Linked DNA regions of Daphnia pulex. The protein of the gene in region 3 interacts with the protein of the main gene of each other region in a pairwise test. Links are inferred from orthologs where the notes say so. Each region holds a gene or a part of one and is shown on either strand. Other genes may lie near its edges.

Evidence for each region.
Region 1: the proteins of exocyst complex component 1-like (region 3) and golgin subfamily A member 4-like interact in binary tests that used the Homo sapiens proteins (3 or more experiments, as listed by UniProt). The link is inferred for Daphnia pulex from reciprocal best matches to the Homo sapiens genes EXOC1 and GOLGA4.
Region 2: the proteins of exocyst complex component 1-like (region 3) and exocyst complex component 2-like interact in binary tests that used the Homo sapiens proteins (3 or more experiments, as listed by UniProt). The link is inferred for Daphnia pulex from reciprocal best matches to the Homo sapiens genes EXOC1 and EXOC2.

What each region holds. Positions count from the first base shown.
Region 1 is NC_060028.1:8,530,540-8,535,386, forward strand, and holds the start of golgin subfamily A member 4-like, read right to left. Parts: upstream 4,073-4,847; 5' UTR 3,959-4,072; coding exon 3,869-3,958; intron 3,663-3,868; coding exon 3,561-3,662; intron 3,318-3,560; coding exon 3,039-3,317; intron 2,977-3,038; coding exon 2,779-2,976; intron 2,714-2,778; coding exon 2,558-2,713; intron 2,504-2,557; coding exon 2,353-2,503; intron 2,286-2,352; coding exon 2,140-2,285; intron 2,079-2,139; coding exon 1,880-2,078; intron 1,816-1,879; coding exon 1,712-1,815; intron 1,643-1,711; coding exon 1,527-1,642; intron 1,465-1,526; coding exon 1,296-1,464; intron 1,231-1,295; coding exon 992-1,230; intron 927-991; coding exon 1-926. Other genes in the region: trafficking protein particle complex subunit 6b-like, read left to right, coding at 4,372-4,458, 4,516-4,577, 4,641-4,842. UniProt on the Homo sapiens protein: Involved in vesicular trafficking at the Golgi apparatus level. May play a role in delivery of transport vesicles containing GPI-linked proteins from the trans-Golgi network through its interaction with MACF1. Involved in endosome-to-Golgi trafficking.
Region 2 is NC_060020.1:5,847,950-5,852,821, reverse strand, and holds exocyst complex component 2-like, read right to left. Parts: upstream 3,934-4,872; 5' UTR 3,752-3,933; coding exon 3,643-3,751; intron 3,585-3,642; coding exon 3,287-3,584; intron 3,221-3,286; coding exon 3,025-3,220; intron 2,962-3,024; coding exon 2,841-2,961; intron 2,772-2,840; coding exon 2,557-2,771; intron 2,471-2,556; coding exon 2,355-2,470; intron 2,276-2,354; coding exon 2,148-2,275; intron 2,069-2,147; coding exon 1,845-2,068; intron 1,771-1,844; coding exon 1,632-1,770; intron 1,548-1,631; coding exon 1,424-1,547; intron 1,360-1,423; coding exon 1,245-1,359; intron 1,166-1,244; coding exon 894-1,165; intron 819-893; coding exon 554-818; intron 494-553; coding exon 237-493; intron 165-236; coding exon 92-164; 3' UTR 11-91; downstream 1-10. Other genes in the region: general transcription and DNA repair factor IIH helicase subunit XPB-like, read right to left, coding at 4,076-4,872. UniProt on the Homo sapiens protein: Component of the exocyst complex involved in the docking of exocytic vesicles with fusion sites on the plasma membrane.
Region 3 is NC_060019.1:8,325,533-8,331,676, reverse strand, and holds exocyst complex component 1-like, read left to right. Parts: upstream 1-1,996; 5' UTR 1,997-2,182; coding exon 2,183-2,350; intron 2,351-2,419; coding exon 2,420-2,512; intron 2,513-2,611; coding exon 2,612-2,816; intron 2,817-2,876; coding exon 2,877-3,040; intron 3,041-3,102; coding exon 3,103-3,330; intron 3,331-3,392; coding exon 3,393-3,525; intron 3,526-3,592; coding exon 3,593-3,702; intron 3,703-3,769; coding exon 3,770-4,037; intron 4,038-4,105; coding exon 4,106-4,257; intron 4,258-4,319; coding exon 4,320-4,594; intron 4,595-4,664; coding exon 4,665-4,875; intron 4,876-4,963; coding exon 4,964-5,117; intron 5,118-5,220; coding exon 5,221-5,366; intron 5,367-5,425; coding exon 5,426-5,620; intron 5,621-5,675; coding exon 5,676-5,828; 3' UTR 5,829-5,980; downstream 5,981-6,144. Other genes in the region: teneurin-m-like, read left to right, coding at 1-835.

The sequences.
Region 1 (4,847 bases), on a different chromosome or scaffold from region 3:
CTTTTTCACTCTCTTCTAGCTGTTCTTTAAGTCGAGAAACTTGAACGCTATCGCATACTGAAGAATTTTTTAGAGCATCTCTTTCTTCTTCCAGTTGACGCATACGGGAGGTCATGGAGGCAATTTCTTCTTTGGCTTTGTCAAGTTCAAGATTCAATGGCTCCAGTAGTTTAGTTTTCTCAACTGCTTGTTCTAATTGAGCAATCTGTTCGTCTTTTTTTTCTAGTGCCAATTTAACGATAGTCAATTCTGCCTGAACAGTTTGCGAGCGTTCATTCAACTTTTCAGTAATTTGTTGGTATTCAGATTCTTTAGCGTTTGCGGAATCAACGGCTTTTTCTGCTTTATCTTGTAATTCAAAGACCAATTTTTCCTTCTGGTCCATAGAATCTTTTAATTCGGCGATTTCCAGCTTCATTGCGTCTAATAATTCCAATTGTTTCTTGTTTTCATTTATGGCAGCGGTCGAGTCTTCTATTTGAAGTTTTAACTTTTCGCACTCTTTTTCACTCTCTTGTAGTTGTATTGAAGAATTTTTGAAAACATCTCTCTCTTCTTCCAATTGACGCATTTGGGAAATCATGTAGGCAGCCTCATCTTTCATTTTTTGAAGTTCAAGATTTAATGGCTCCAGTAGTTTAGTCTGCTCAAGCGCCGAATTCAACTGCTCAGACACAGCATTCATGGAAGTAACTCGTTCTTGAAGGACATTTATTTGGCTAGATAGATCGCTGATGTTGAGCTCTTTGCTTTTTAAAAGCTCTTGAAATTCCTGAAGCGTTGCGCTGTGTTGTGACGTTTCAGAATCTTTGTCACGCAAGAGGGTGCGAAGCTGTTGTATTTGATTCTTGGCAGAAGATTCCATATCTTCATTTGCTGCTTGAAGAAGTTCTTCGTGTTGTAACTGATATTTCTCCAATTCCATCCTAAACGCACACAAACGGAACTTGAGGTTAATTTTACCACTACCTGTCAATAACAAAAATCTTACGTGTGCTGTTGTTTAAGACCTAAAACGGCAGTGTCGATCGCATTTTGATGACGTTCTTCAATTTCTTCGACAAGTTTTTTATTCTGCAAACTCACAGACTGGATTTCCTCTAAATGTCTCTCTCTGTTTTCCTCGATTTGTTGAACCCAAGATCGTCGCTCTTCCAGGCTTTCTTCTCGGGCCTTCTCAGCAATTTTTTCTTTGTTTTCTATCTCACTCTTTAGATTTGAAATTTCTTCCTGTTTAAACATTTATAAAAATATATAGTAAAATTCAAACCATTTCTTTAAAAATCATTATGAACCTGCAGTCCTTGTTGGTTGTTCTTTTCTCGAGAAATTAGCGAAGCACAATGCAACTCTTTTTCTTCCAGAGCCAAAGTTTTTTCCTCTTGCATCTCGGCCAATCGCGAACGATAATGCTCCTCTGTCTGACGTAGCACCCTCGCGTGGTTTTCTGCCTCTTCACTTAATCTGATAAAGCATACTTAGCGATGAACAAAAAACTCCTGTAATTAACTTTTAACCTAATATACTTTTTCTGTAAAACAGCTTCCCAATGAGCGTCTCTCTCCTTTTTCGAATCTTCCAGACGATGGCCCATGTCCTCGTCCATTAGTTTGAGTGCCTCAGTTTTTCCACGCGAAAGTTCCTATTAACGCAACAAAAAAGTTTTGAATCTCTGAATTCTTTCTCTTTCTTTTTACAGTTCAGAATTTACCTTGAGAAGCTTTTGTTTTTCCACTTCAAGAACTGCTTCCGCGTCTTGTAGCTGCTTTGACGTCTGTTCTTTGATTTTATCCATTTCTGTCTCCAACAGAGTCACTGTATTGTTAATAAAATGAACCTTAACAAATGCGTTTTTCAAGCCAACAATGAAGTAATCAACCTTTGTTATTAAGTTGCTCGCGCTCATTACGGAGCCGAACCATTTCCTCCTCTTGTTTGACAAGTTCAGCATGAACTTTCTGCTTAGTTTCAGCAGATGCCAAAGCAGCTTCTTGTTCTTGACGTCGTAGAGTTTCAATTTCTGTTCGGGCCATATTTAAGCTTTCTGTAAGTTGAGCTAATTGATCTCGATGCATTTTCTGTAAAACATTACAACATTGATTACTAAAAAATCTGGAATAACGTAATCGTTCTCATTACCTGAACGCTGTCGATTTCTTCGTTCTTTTGGGTTTCTTTTTGTTTAAAGGTTTCATTCTCCGCCTGAAGCTCGCTGTTACGTTCGATGTGTGATTTAATATTTTCTTTACATTTCATAAGAAGTGATTCAAAACGCTGGAGTTTCTCTGAAAATATAACAAAGAACCATTCTAATGAAAAAAATATACACTTTACAAAACAAAAGAAAATTACCTTTCAATAGTTGAACTTCATTGTCTGTAGCTTCTCCCTTCACATCTTTGTCGGTCTCATCAAACGATTTACTGCTGGCAGTCTCGGAATTGTTTAAGTCTACTAATGGTCCCTCGGAGATGGAAGGCGAAGGGGAAGCCAATAATTTGACCTGGGCGGTAAGAAAGTAAGAGATATTGCGAAATTTGGACAATTTTGATATTACTTTTGTTTGCAGGACGGCTATTAAATTGTCTTTTTCTTCTAAATCCGACCTCAAAATTTCTTCCAAATGGGCTTTGGCTTGTTGCTCCAGAACACATTGTTCTTTGAGTTCCGATATCCTTCGCAGACTTCGATCTTGGGTCTCAGTTAGTACGTGCTACATGGAAGGGCAATAAGCAATCAATAAGAATTGGTGTTTTGGAAACCAAACAATATTCCCACCTTGACTTTTTCTCTGTCGCGCTCTAGTTCTTTATAATGTCGTGCCAAATCAGAGTAACGTCCTTTATATTTATGATAGCGCACCCTCATTTTCTGGTAGGCATTATAAACGTGCTCTTTGGATATTCGATCAACAGCATGCGTACCACTCTGGCTGGCGGAATCGTCAAATTCGCTTACATTAGACTCTAGATCCGACTGGACAGGAAACGTAATTCGATTAGGTTAGTTTATTCGATGCTTTGGTGAGGATATAGTACCTGGAATTGATACGGGTGATATGTCGGATCTGAAGAACCAGGAAGAAATGAGACATCACTGAAAACAGAGCTAAGTGATGACTGGCGGGATAGCCGACCGGTATGGTTAGCAGATTGTGGAGTGCTGGTCGTCATTTCTCGTTTGGGTTCATTTAGATTCACAGGTTGAAATCGTCCTTCTTTGTTTGAGCCTGATGGTGATGACGGTCGACTATCAACGTCGGCTATGCTAAATGCGTTGATTCCTGCTTCTCCATCTTCGGCGATGTCAACTAATGTCTGAGAAGATTTAAAATTAGATGAATGAGTTTTATGGATTTAATTAAATACATAAAAAACGATATGCATGTAATGTTGATGCAGAGGTAAGGCAAGATTTCAACAATAACAAATTGAACTGATATTTCTTATATTTCTAAAGCCACAGTCCTGTAAAGCCAACATGAGTGCACAAAATTACTTAAAAAAATGCAAAATTAATTTGCAAAATGCATCATTCATTGAATATCATCTCTAAGTTACCTCATGAGTTCTTTGAATTGCAGCATTTTCCCCCAGGCCACTTTGAATCTGTTGGGCTTCTATGACATCACCATTATGTGCTTCCCGAGTGAAAGGAGAGTACTGAAGGTTGTGAAGGAAAACAGGGTAAAAGCACAAAGCAGCATAATTAAAAGCTTGTTTTTCCATGCCCCACAACCAGACAAAATAGCTTGCACATTAAAGACCTCAATAGTTGATATTAAAAATACCGACTTGATCATCAATAAGCCATGACAGTAAAAACTCTTATGGTAATGAACACGGAGAATTCGGTATAGAATCCCTACCTGAGACAAATGTTGCTGCACAGAAGTTGGAAGCCGTAACGGAGATTGCTTTACTTCCTCAGCAATTTTATCCTTTAATTTCTTGAACATGATCGAACAATATCGGAGCAAGATCCACCTGTCAAAACTTATTGTATGACGTCACTCACACCATTAAGCGCTGGTGCTGCTCTCAAACCGTCAAACGTTATTTCAGCTTTAAGAAAATCTAATTGATTATTTCAATAATAATTTCACGTAAAAACTGCTATATTACTCAAGCGTAGTCGTATTATTATGTCTTCAGGGATCAGGAATATTTTTGAATTGTAAAAAAAAACTACAAAATTAGTTTTTCATACTAGGGCAACCGCAACCCAAACTAAATTTAGAGTTGTCTGCTAGAAAACCTTATTGTTTACGTCTCTGCACATATTCGTTCAAGTTAATTTCATGAATATTCTTGTCTGAATTAAAATATTCGATAATTTATTTACCTCTTTCGAACTTGTCGTGTATAAGAAATGGCCGATGATGCGTTGTTTGATTTTCTTCATATGGAAATAGTCAGTCAAGTGACAAAATCTGATCCTGGCTCCCTTCAAGATGGAGTAAGTTTTGTTCAATTCACATAGCTTTTTCAGAATAAACACTGACTGTTCTTACAGGATGAAGCTATGTCTAAATTGGAACAAATTGGCTACTCCACTGGCTATAGATTCATTGAAAGGTACAGAAAAAATCCTTTTGTATGTGACAGTTGTGACACTTAGTAATATTTATCATTTCTAAGACTAACCAAGGATTTATCAAGATTTAAAGATGAGCTAGAAGTCATGAAAGCTATCTGTAAAGATTTTTGGAGTGCAGTTTTCAAGAAGCAAGTTGACAACCTCAGGACTAATCATCAAGGTGTATATGTCCTCCAAGATAACAAGTTTAGGTTCCTTGCCTCAATATCCAACAGCAGGCAATATCTAGAATTAGCCCCAAAGGTATT
Region 2 (4,872 bases), on a different chromosome or scaffold from region 3:
AAAAGTCTCATTTCGTTTTGAATTTGTATTGTAGATATGTATTACACTTGAATTAAAATCAAAATAAAGGGAAAACAGGCTTTTAAACACGTTAGTTTATATCAAGGCAAAATAACTGGAACTTCATCCGCTTTTCGAAATTGACGAGGATTCTCTTGTGGGATCTGTTATGAGACAAAATTAAAATACGTTACCAACTACCTGATTACTGATCTATTACATCTTTAAAATCGTACTCAATACTGTCTGGTGTCGTAAGTGGTGGAATCATGTCCGCAGCTTCTGAAAAAGGATTCGAAAATTGCTGCAAGCGTGTTTCATTGGAATTTTTCCCGACGTTAAAACATGCTCGGGATAAGGCAGAAATGTCTGCTGATGCTTGAAGCGCTCCACTGTCTGAAAATTTGTTAACACATGAAAACAAACGACCCAGTTCTGCTGCCACCTCTCGCACGACTCTTTCGAGGATACGAGGAACGAGTGAAGGACTAACCTGAAACCCAGAATAATGAATTGGATGAATATATAACAACTAGAACAAGGACGTCAATACTTGGGCAACTTCTGCATGAACTGCAATCATGTTCATTATTATTTCTTTGCAGTAAGGCCGAATATCATCTGTAATAGGAATATTCTTGTTCCAATCGAAGCGTCCAGCATACATAGAAGGCTCTACAATTCCAATCAGTGGTTCAACCTTTTCTTCTAAATATGCTTCCATTAATCGCTCTTCGGTTTTCTCTAATAGATCTCTAGCCGCTTGAATGGCAGCCGACAGATCAGGATATCCTAATTTGTTCCAGTGCTCTTTCAGTCTAGAAAAATTAAACAGGATAGTAGTTATACTTTAAAACTCTTTCAATTGTTAATCATAAATGTTTAGTGTGTACCTGGGCAAAATATGAAGCATTGTATACTGACAATTACTGAGTCCTAGCAGTAATTTCATTTCACGAGTTGAATCTTCGGAATGATCCTGGTCAGAAGATGCCAGGCGTTCTGTGCTACGCGCAAAACTGAAGAGTAACTTTTGCACTAAGATATTCAAGTCATTCAGTACAGATGCGTTCTCCATCAAGTTAGTTTCTCGTTGTTCTGATTGAAAAACAGTTTCTTTCACCAGTTGTAGACACTCGATTACTTGTGTTTCAAATATATGAGGCTGAAAATTGGCATTGAAAGATAAATGTTGGCATAGTAGAATAGAGCCACATTACTACATTAAAAAATCTCTATATTACCAATTGCGTAATAGACCCATGGGATTCAATAAATTCCAACTTCCAGTTTTCTTGACTGGCAAGATGTGTGATATTTTCAGCAGTTTGCATTAATAGACTTCTCATGCAATGAACTCTAAAAGAAGATAATAAAGCGGAAGTAAGCGAAATATTGCCGATATCGAACTTAATAACCCTACCTTAAATCATGAAGCAAATCGCGAATGGCGTCAAGAGCTTCAACAGGTAAGTCCAGCGTAAGTAATTCAGCATAACAGGTTCGAACCGTTCGAAGACAAAGTACGAACCACGATCCAATTCCTTCTACATAAACGAAATTTGTAACGCAATTATTTTCTATACTGGTTAACAAGATGACTTTACTATATAAATAACGAAAGTAATTACCATGATCAGAAAATATTCCACTGAAGGCTTGCCAAATACCAAATTGAGCTCGATGTGGAGATTGACGATCCAGAGTGTGAGGAATTAAAGCAGCTCTGATGAGTTGACTGAATATTGTTACCACGTCCAATACCATTTTCTATAAATCCGCAATTGAAAGAGAATAAATGTACATGTATACACATAAATAAATAATGGGATTTGAATAATTACTTTGAATTCTTCTTTTTTCAATGTATCTGCCCGAACAAACAATTCCCCAGCGAAATAAGCTTGGCCAAGTTTCCAGAGTTCCGGAAAAACAGAAGTGAACCGATCGTTAAGTTCTTCAAGGAATGTTACCCTTCCCGGCGTAGTATTAGATGAGGATTCAGCAGAGTTAGATGACGGCAACAACAGATTATTGGATCGTTTTCCTTTGGATGGTGCAGATTTTACTAAACCAGCATCAAACAATGTAGAATTAAAATACACGAATTTATTAAATTTTGTTTTGGCAAATCCGCAAAAAATTACCAATTTCTTCTTGCTCCAAACTTAGGTATTTATCTTTACATTGGAATAATATTTGAGAGCAATGCTTATATTGTCCAGCAATACAAAGCCATGCTGGATCATTCGGACATTCAAGATTTGTCAAGTTTCTGTAATGGAATGACAAAATAATTCAAAAGTTTAGGTAAATCAAAATCATGCAAAAGTTAAGCTTTTTCTTGTACTGACCTAATAATTTTTTTTTGCTCTTCAAGTGATGCAGGATACTGTTGCAGTTTCTCTTGTAGCATCTCCCTGAGATTTAAAATTCGCTGCTCTGCTTCTTGCAGAACTCGTTTAAAAACCTATAATACATGAAGTTGCGATTGATCTAAAGTTGGCTCCGGGATCGTTAAAATACACCACACTGCATGACCTAAATATTACACACCTGTACTTCAGTTTGTCCGAACAAAGCATTAGCTCTTGCATAATCATTAATGACCAAATCATAATCAGCCTTTTGAATGTTTTTATCAAGGGTAGACGGTAAATGAAACAGAAATCGGAATCTTTGCAGAATTCCCAAAGCATTTCTGGTGCCGTCAGCTTGTTCTTTACGTTTGAGGACATCGTCGAACAACCGACCAGCTTCGGTTTTAGCGCCTGAAAATGAATTAATTTGTCAATAGTTAACAATTGCTGCTAATATCGCAATAAGAGTGTGCTGCATACTCAAAATGGAGTTTTCCAAAGACGCTGTCATATCCGGCCCGTATTTTGTTTTGTTTTCTTCTACAACTTTTTTTAAAGTCATCAAAGTGTCCATCTGTTCTATAACTGAGCCTGCATGGGTCTTCAATTAATGAAAATATTAGCTGTAAGTATTTATAAAGCAATCTTTTATTTATTTCCAAACCTTTAAAAAGGATATTTGTCCTTCTTTCTGAGCTTCAACCCGTCGTTTAAGAAAGCTAAGCCCAGCTTTCAGATCATCAAATCCGGTGCTGTGATGATGCTGCAACAAAAACCAAGACGGAGAAAAATTTTCACTTCCGAGCTCACCGTTCGATTCAGGAAATAATTCTTGCAGTTCTTCTTCAGGGTATTTTTTTCTATGTAATTGTTTTAATTCAATTAATAAAATATACCAAAACTAAGTGTAGTAGATAAAAACCAACACTGCATTTTCAACAGAAAGTCCTAAAGGGTCATCTTGTTGATAGCTGGAAGGAATCAAAGCTCTGTGTCTTCCAAGTCCAGTCAAATGTGATTCATCAACCCAAACTGCACTTTCTTTTAAAGGGCCAATAGTTTCATGGTAGCCCCTAAACTGTACAGTACATGAACCCTTTCCTCCAGATTTGGTGATTATGACTATATCACCCTTGCTTTTACCTGGACCTGATCTGGCCACAATTTTGTTACTTGAAACCCATTCAGCAGATAGCAAACAATCGGAGTTGCAAATTATTAGACCTACAGAAACAGAACAGACATGAATAACAATTCAACATAAAATTTTTCTTAATTTTACCAATAATATCATCAGGTCCACTGCCGAAATTTTCTCCTCGTATTGTTACACGAGTTCCAGGAGGTCCTTCCTTTGGGGAAACTCCAGTCACGATAGGTGGTAAACCCATTGTTGTTTGATACAAAAAAATTTAAATTTATAGCCCTTTCCACTACGACAGCAAATTCTTCACCCAACTTAAATACAAACGTGCACTACTGCGATTGATTATAAATGAATTTCGTAAAGACTTTCTCACACCCAATAGTCTTTGCTTGACAACTATGAGAGACAACAACATAGCAGACGAAGTTTACAGCATTGCATATATTATCACACACCTGTCACCAGACACCAAAAAAAAGTGAGAAATAAAAAGTATTAAACCAGTTTCTGTATTTATTCAACATGAATTTTGAGATATAGTAATCACATTTTATGACTTGGAAAATCTTTACTTGGTGCGGTATTTCTTGAAAAGGGGGTGTTTGGATAAATTATTTGAAGCTGATGGGCGTTTATATTCCATATAAACTGCGTCATCGGCACCGCTCATTGATGCCATGGTTCCAACGCGTCGTCCAAATGGACCAGGCCGACCTCCAATTTCTCCGGGTACACGCTCTTCATCTGCATCAATATCCGATGCTGTCAGAACCATTTGTAGCAGGTTGGCTTGCTCTTCCTTGCTCTTGTAGTTCAATTCCTGGTCTTGATCCATGCCCGCCATGCGAGTGATGACTTTATAGCTGTATCCTTGATTAACCAAGAATCGCTGACGTTTACGAGAGAAGCTCATTTCCAATGTATCTTGCGATACCAGCGTGTAGAAGAACGCATTGTACTCCTCCGCAATGGCACCTTTCTTGGCTCGAAGAATACGCCCCAAACGTTGAGCTTCTTGACGACGAGAGCCACCGTGCGAGGATATTTGAATAAGCACGTTGGCATCAGGCAAATCGAAGGAAGTATCAGCCACCTTACTGACGAAAATTGTGTTCACCTTCGGATTCAGTTTGAAATTTTGTAGAATTTGAAGCCTTTCGTTCTGAGATGTTGGACCGTAAATGAATGGCTTATTCATGGTAAGCGCATAGTGCTTAAGAGCATACACATTATCCGAAAAAACGATGATTTTGTCATTACGTCGCTCGTGGTAGCGAATAAGAAACTGACAGGCTCTAAACTTGTTAGGATTCATTACGAAGAGAAGCATTTTCTTTGCGGATTTACAGGCCAGATACTCGCGAT
Region 3 (6,144 bases):
GGACACGAAGAATGCCGTTGGACACTTTGGAGTCATTTCCGGCTTACGCTGTCTGACTGAAAACGTGCAAAAAGGATTTTCCGTTCTCAGTTTTGTGCCGCCTCCCAAGCTGCGGTCAGGAGGCGAGCTTAGACGGAACCCCCTGCCCAGTATCGCTTACCGGAAGCCGGCCTTGGGTGAAGGTATCCTCCTCTCGCGGGTGGGTGGTCGCGTGTCTGTCACTTTGTTGCCCGACTCGCAGGGCAGCAGCGGTGGCATATTGCAAGACGTGTTGGGTTCGGTCCTGGGCGACAGTTCCACCACCCACTGGTTAGACATCCGCACGGGAATGGGCCAACAGGAAATCTTCTACTTTGTCAAGGAAAGTCTGGCGAAATTGCGCGACGACCAGGAAGATTTGAAGCGTTTGAGTGGCCAGTTCAACATCACGCTCGTTGAAAACCCGACGGAACAAGGAGGCGGGTCTGAATTGCGATTGGCCAATGCGGATCTATCCGTCAGCATCAGCTACGGTGTCGAAGTGGAAGCGGCTAGACAGCGAATACTCCGGTCGTCTCATCGGCGAGCGGTTGAAGTCGCTTGGCTGCGCGAGAAACAGTTGGTGGAAAGCGGATTGCCCGGCCAGCAGGTGGACTGGAGCGTTGAAGAAAGGGTGGAGCTGATGACCAACGGAAGAGTCGACGGCTTTGTCGGCTCGGATTTGCACAGCATCTACGACTACCCGCAATTGGCCGATGATGCCAGCAACATTATTTTCCGGAGAGACGACACCAAGCGAAAACGGCGCAAGAGCCATCGCTTGTCGTCACGCCAACAAAGACGGGGGCAACACTGAAAAAAAAACAGGGTTTTATAATTAATCCACCAAACCCATGATCGTACTTCGAAACTAAAAAATATTGTGCTTTGTAAAAAAAAAAAAATAACAAAAATAACAAAAAAATCTGATTATGATTACGGTGCTCTGTCATTCTAATTTGTAATCTTTGACGGAATCATTTGCGCTGTATTTTTACGTCACCAGGAAAAGAAAAACAAAAAACTGCTCGAGCCGAAAAATGAAGCGTAGTCATCACCGTCTCATGTGATAATCAAATATCGAGATGGAATCCGAGTAGAAACATTCTTCGACATATTTGATGGTTTATTCATCTTTTTTTTTACTTTCCTTCCCTGTCCATTTCTATATATTACAAACACACCCACCAGTAAAAGAGATATATTGAAATCACTACTGACATTGGATCCTGTTTTCTTTTGTACTTTAAGAATTGTGTTTAGAGTTGTAACGTTTTTTTTCTGTTATTCCTTCGTGTACATATATTATTCTGATATTTCTTGACCGAAGCGATGCGTCGACATCACACCGCCAGATTTATTTGGGACTCTTCTCTATTGGCATCATTTGTTGCAATATGTTATTTCTGAAGAGTGTGCGATTTGATGACTCTACATGCCAAAATTCTCCTTTTTCAAATGTGCGTGTGTTATTTGAACATGGCGGGCCTAACTTTTGTGTGCGTCAAGTGTCATAATATTCACATCTTTATCGTATATAATAATCTCGGTATGCAAAACAAAAAATTCATGAATCTGAATGATTATGTGCATCTGATATAAATACATATTGTTGTACTGTAACACTTTTGTGAATTTTTTAAGAAATACGGTTGAGCTAAAATATCCAAAATGAAATTTTCGACACGTTGAGCGTTAAGGAAAACAAATGAACAAATGAGACAAATGAAAATCTAGAAAATCAAGTTTAAGATAAATGTTATAATGTTATATTTCAAGAGTAGTTCTCAGTGAAAATTCGAGATTAATAATTATGGTCACCAGATCTGCTGTACACGCCCCTCGGTCTGATAGTCCACCCCTTCCTCCCATTAAAATTATGAATAAATAATCCGATCGTTTGCTGCACGCGCGAGTTTCCGCGTTTTTTAAAAAATAACCCTTTGACTTCATAAGTTCTCCGTATCACTGTTAGAGGACAGCACCATCAGATGGTGGGTGGGACAGCTTCGTCTGCAATATTGTCAGTTGTCACGAAACACAGCAGACATAATATAGTGTATGCAACCTGCTGGCGATTCAACGTTATTGTTATTGAATCTAATTGTTAGCCGATTGATTGACGATTGATTGACATTTTCTCGTTACTTCTTCGTTTAATAAAATGGCTGCGCTAAGGCACAGTTTGCAGCGAGAATTATTTTCGCCTGCTGAAGAAAGATTAGTTGGATTGGCTCATGTGACTAGTGTTGGCAAGAAAAAGAAGGCACTTCCTTGTTTTTTGTGCGTTGCAGTTACTGCAGATCAAGGCATCGGTGCCGTAATATACAAGGTATACTTACTTCAATTTTCCCATGCACCAAATTATGTTCTTTATTCTGTCATTATTTTCAATAAACAGGTAAAGAAAACTGAGAAAAACAATGTTTACAAGAAGAAGAGTAGCTGGCCATTGAAAGAGCTCAAAACTGTGGATGGTATTGATGGCAACAAGGTATAAAGAAATTGTTTTCATATTTGTCTGGTTTGCCCATGCAGACCCTCAAAGAGTTGTGTCATCTTCTTAAAACAATTGTAATTTTTTATTTTGTAGGAAACAGCTGAATTCAGCATTCATTTTGACAAAGTATACCTTTGGTCTGCATCTAATGTTCAAGAAAGGCTTCTTTTGTTTTCCATTTTATGGAAACTTTGTTCAAAGTATTTGCCGAAACAAAGTCCAATGTTTGTTAATATCCCTCCAGGCATCATAGAAGATTCAGTGATACCAGAAACATCCGTAGCATTAGATCATGAAGGTATCAAATTGAAACTTGTGAAGCATTTTATAAGTTGTTCACCTGTTTGATTCAAACTAGTCAGTGGTCCAATGGATGGAGGCATTGGTGAGGAGGATTATCAAGCCCTTACAGACAGAGAAGAGAAAGACCTGGAACGATTATTATCTCAGTCCAATAATGCCTTGAGTAATGCAGAAAAGTTTATGGAGCAACTGGCTAAGGACTTGTCTTTACTTGATGGAGTATTTTATGCAATAAAAATCTATCATTTGAAATATCATAACTGAACTGATTTCTACTATAGGCAAATATTCAAAGCTTGATGGGCTCTGAAGCTCAAGTCATACAATTGTTGAACCTTCTCGAAGCAGCCGAAAATGAAGCTGCATCCATTGAAACCGAGTTAGACAAGTATGAAAACATTCTACTCCAAGCCCGGGTTGCAATGGCAACAGTAGGTGAAAAGAATGTGTCCCTGGAAACTGCCAACCGTAACAATCGTCTTCTACTTATGGAACTCAATAATTTAGTCGTAAGGCTGCCGTTTTCAATCCTCGTTTATCCGCATCTACAATCAATGTGTTTGTGGTACAGGCACATTTAGATATTCCACATTCCCAGCAAGTAACTTTGAACAATCCAGACTTAAATAGTCCTACAGGCCTTCAAAACGCTATAATAGCTGCTAAATCTCTTCAACGTGCTATGAATGCTGAACTAAAACCAGGTACTTGCATTTTTCGAAACCAAAATAAAATAATTCTATTCTCATTTCTCTAATCGTCACTCTTAAGGACTTGAGAAAATGGTTGCGGTTCAAGATCAGCGACGGCAGTTGGAGAAATGGCGAGCAAAATTTACACCCACAGTTACTCGCCAACTCAACAACCTCTTCATTCACTTAGTAATAAAATCAGTTTATACTTACGCTTTTTTTTCCCTTCAATAATATTTTTTGGTTTTCTTTTTAGAGCAATGATTCTGGAGAAACCAGTAGTCAAAGCTCTAGAAGTTCAAACTCTTCGCAAACAACAGTGTCACTGGCTAAACACGGGAAACTGCATTCTCAACTACAAATGTATGCTCCCTTAATGCATTGGCTAAAAGCAACAGACCATGCCTGCTATGAGAAACTACTCGAAGTATACACTACATCAATATGTAAATTGTATGAAAGAGATCTACGGCAGTTCTTTGATGAAGCGCGTTCGAAAGTGATAGGATTGCGAGAGAAAAAACGTAAGGAGAAGCAATTTTTTATTTGAATCCACCTTTAGTGATTTCTGGTTATAACATGTTTACCGCAGTTCGTGGAAGTGATTCGGGTTCAGACATGGGCACCAGGCATTCCTTGTCTATTAAAAATCCTTCAGGAACAAATGTCGCCGCGGCAAGCCCTAGTGGAACAATACAAATGCCGAGTCAAAATTTGTTAGGGAATGAAAGAGAGCTTTGGACGGTACAATATACTATACGAAATTTTAAATGTGTAAAATGTATTGATAAATATGTTTATTACAGGTTGAAGTTGATATTCATGAAAGAAAACGCCTAGAAGACTTGCTTGAATGCGCACTAGCCGAACTTGAACCAGTATGTCTAGTGGAACAAGAATTTTGTGTCGCATTTTTTGCACTGGATCAAGGAGGCCATGAAGCGGATGAATCATCAACAAGTAACAAAACCCCAGAACGAGCCATTAACGAAGAAGTGCGCAAAATGATGAGCGTTTTGTTTACTGTTCTTGAACCGGAGCTTGTGAGCTTTCTTGCTACTTATGAGAAAGTAGATAGCTTGTAAGTGATTTAGAATACTGTACTTTTTAAATTGGAATGCTTTTTTTTTAATCGCTATTATTATTTCTAGCTCACCTTTGTACGTCCTCGTGAGACTTAGTCAGCATGTCTTGTCTGCAACCGATACCGGTTCCTTCCTCAGTGTTACATTTGGTTCATCTTTGGTGCACGTGAAGCGAGCATTCGATCGGTTTTTTATGACTCAGCTTCGCTCGATTGAAGATTCAAAACAGCCTAGGAAATCCAAATGTGGGATTCTTCCTTTCATTTCTAATTTCGAGGTAAAGTAACAAAATTAAAAATTTGTAAGTTAGTTGTATTTTGAATTTATTTTGAATTCCCCACGGCATCCTTTTATTTCATTTCTAGGAATTTTCTGTGATAATTGAAAATATTTTCAAGAATTCAGAACGGCGGGTTGATGTTGACAAATGGTACACACGTTTAGTCCGAGCCATGTTTGAAGTAATGCCAAGGATTTCTATAGAGAACTCTAGGACTCCAGCTGACATGATCAAAATGGGTATTTGAACGATTATTATATCATTTTTCTTTTAATTCAGAGTTTAATTCTAAGAAACAAAGAAATTCATTGCTATTTGTATTTTGTATTGTTTTTTTAATAGAAAATTTTCATCGATTACACGCTTTGTTGTCACAGCTAAAAATCGCAGTCCTGGAAGCCGAGAAGAAAGAAGCAAAGCAAAAATATCAGGAAGCACTTCAATCATACGTTATACAATATTTTGGAAGGCCTTTAGAGAAACTCAATGTAGGTTACCTAATTAATGTGCTAAAAATGTGAAGTAATTTTGTTTTTTGTTTTTCTAGTTATTTTTTGATGGTGTTCAAGCTAAAGTTTCGCAAGGAGTTAAAGAGTCGGAAATTGGCTACCAAATGGCGTTTAGTAAACAAGAACTACGAAAAGTGATTTCCATTTATCCTGGAAGAGAAGTTAAAAAAGGTCTCGAATCTCTGTACAAAAAAGTGGAAAAACATCTATCTGATGAAGAAAATCTGTTACAGGTTATTTGATTTTTTTAATGTATAAAGCATTATTTAATGTAATGCTGTTTAATAGGTTGTGTGGCGGGCCATGCAAGAAGAATTTATCCGTCAATACAAATCCCTCGAAGACATGATTCAGCGTTGCTACCCTGGTGCGCTCATCACGTTGGACTTCTCCATGAGTGATATTCTTGAATATTTTTCAGACATAGCACGCTCTCACTAATGCTTGATTTTCAGAAACATAATTAAATTACATGTTCAAAAAATTTTCCTAAACAGCGATACATATTGAATGAACAAAAGCAGTATAAAAAATACGTTCATCCCGTATCCCTTTAAGAATAAAGTACCACCTACCAGGTTATCGCATCTATATATAACATATACGTGGACTTGGAGAAGAAAGTAGAATACTGGAACGAATATATGAGAAGGCATTGAATGCTCGATCAGTGAATCGATGAAGGATGAAGGCAAAGTTTTTTAAATTTAAATTTCATTCAACCAGGTGGCAGGGGCTGCATTAGACAAGTCTCTAC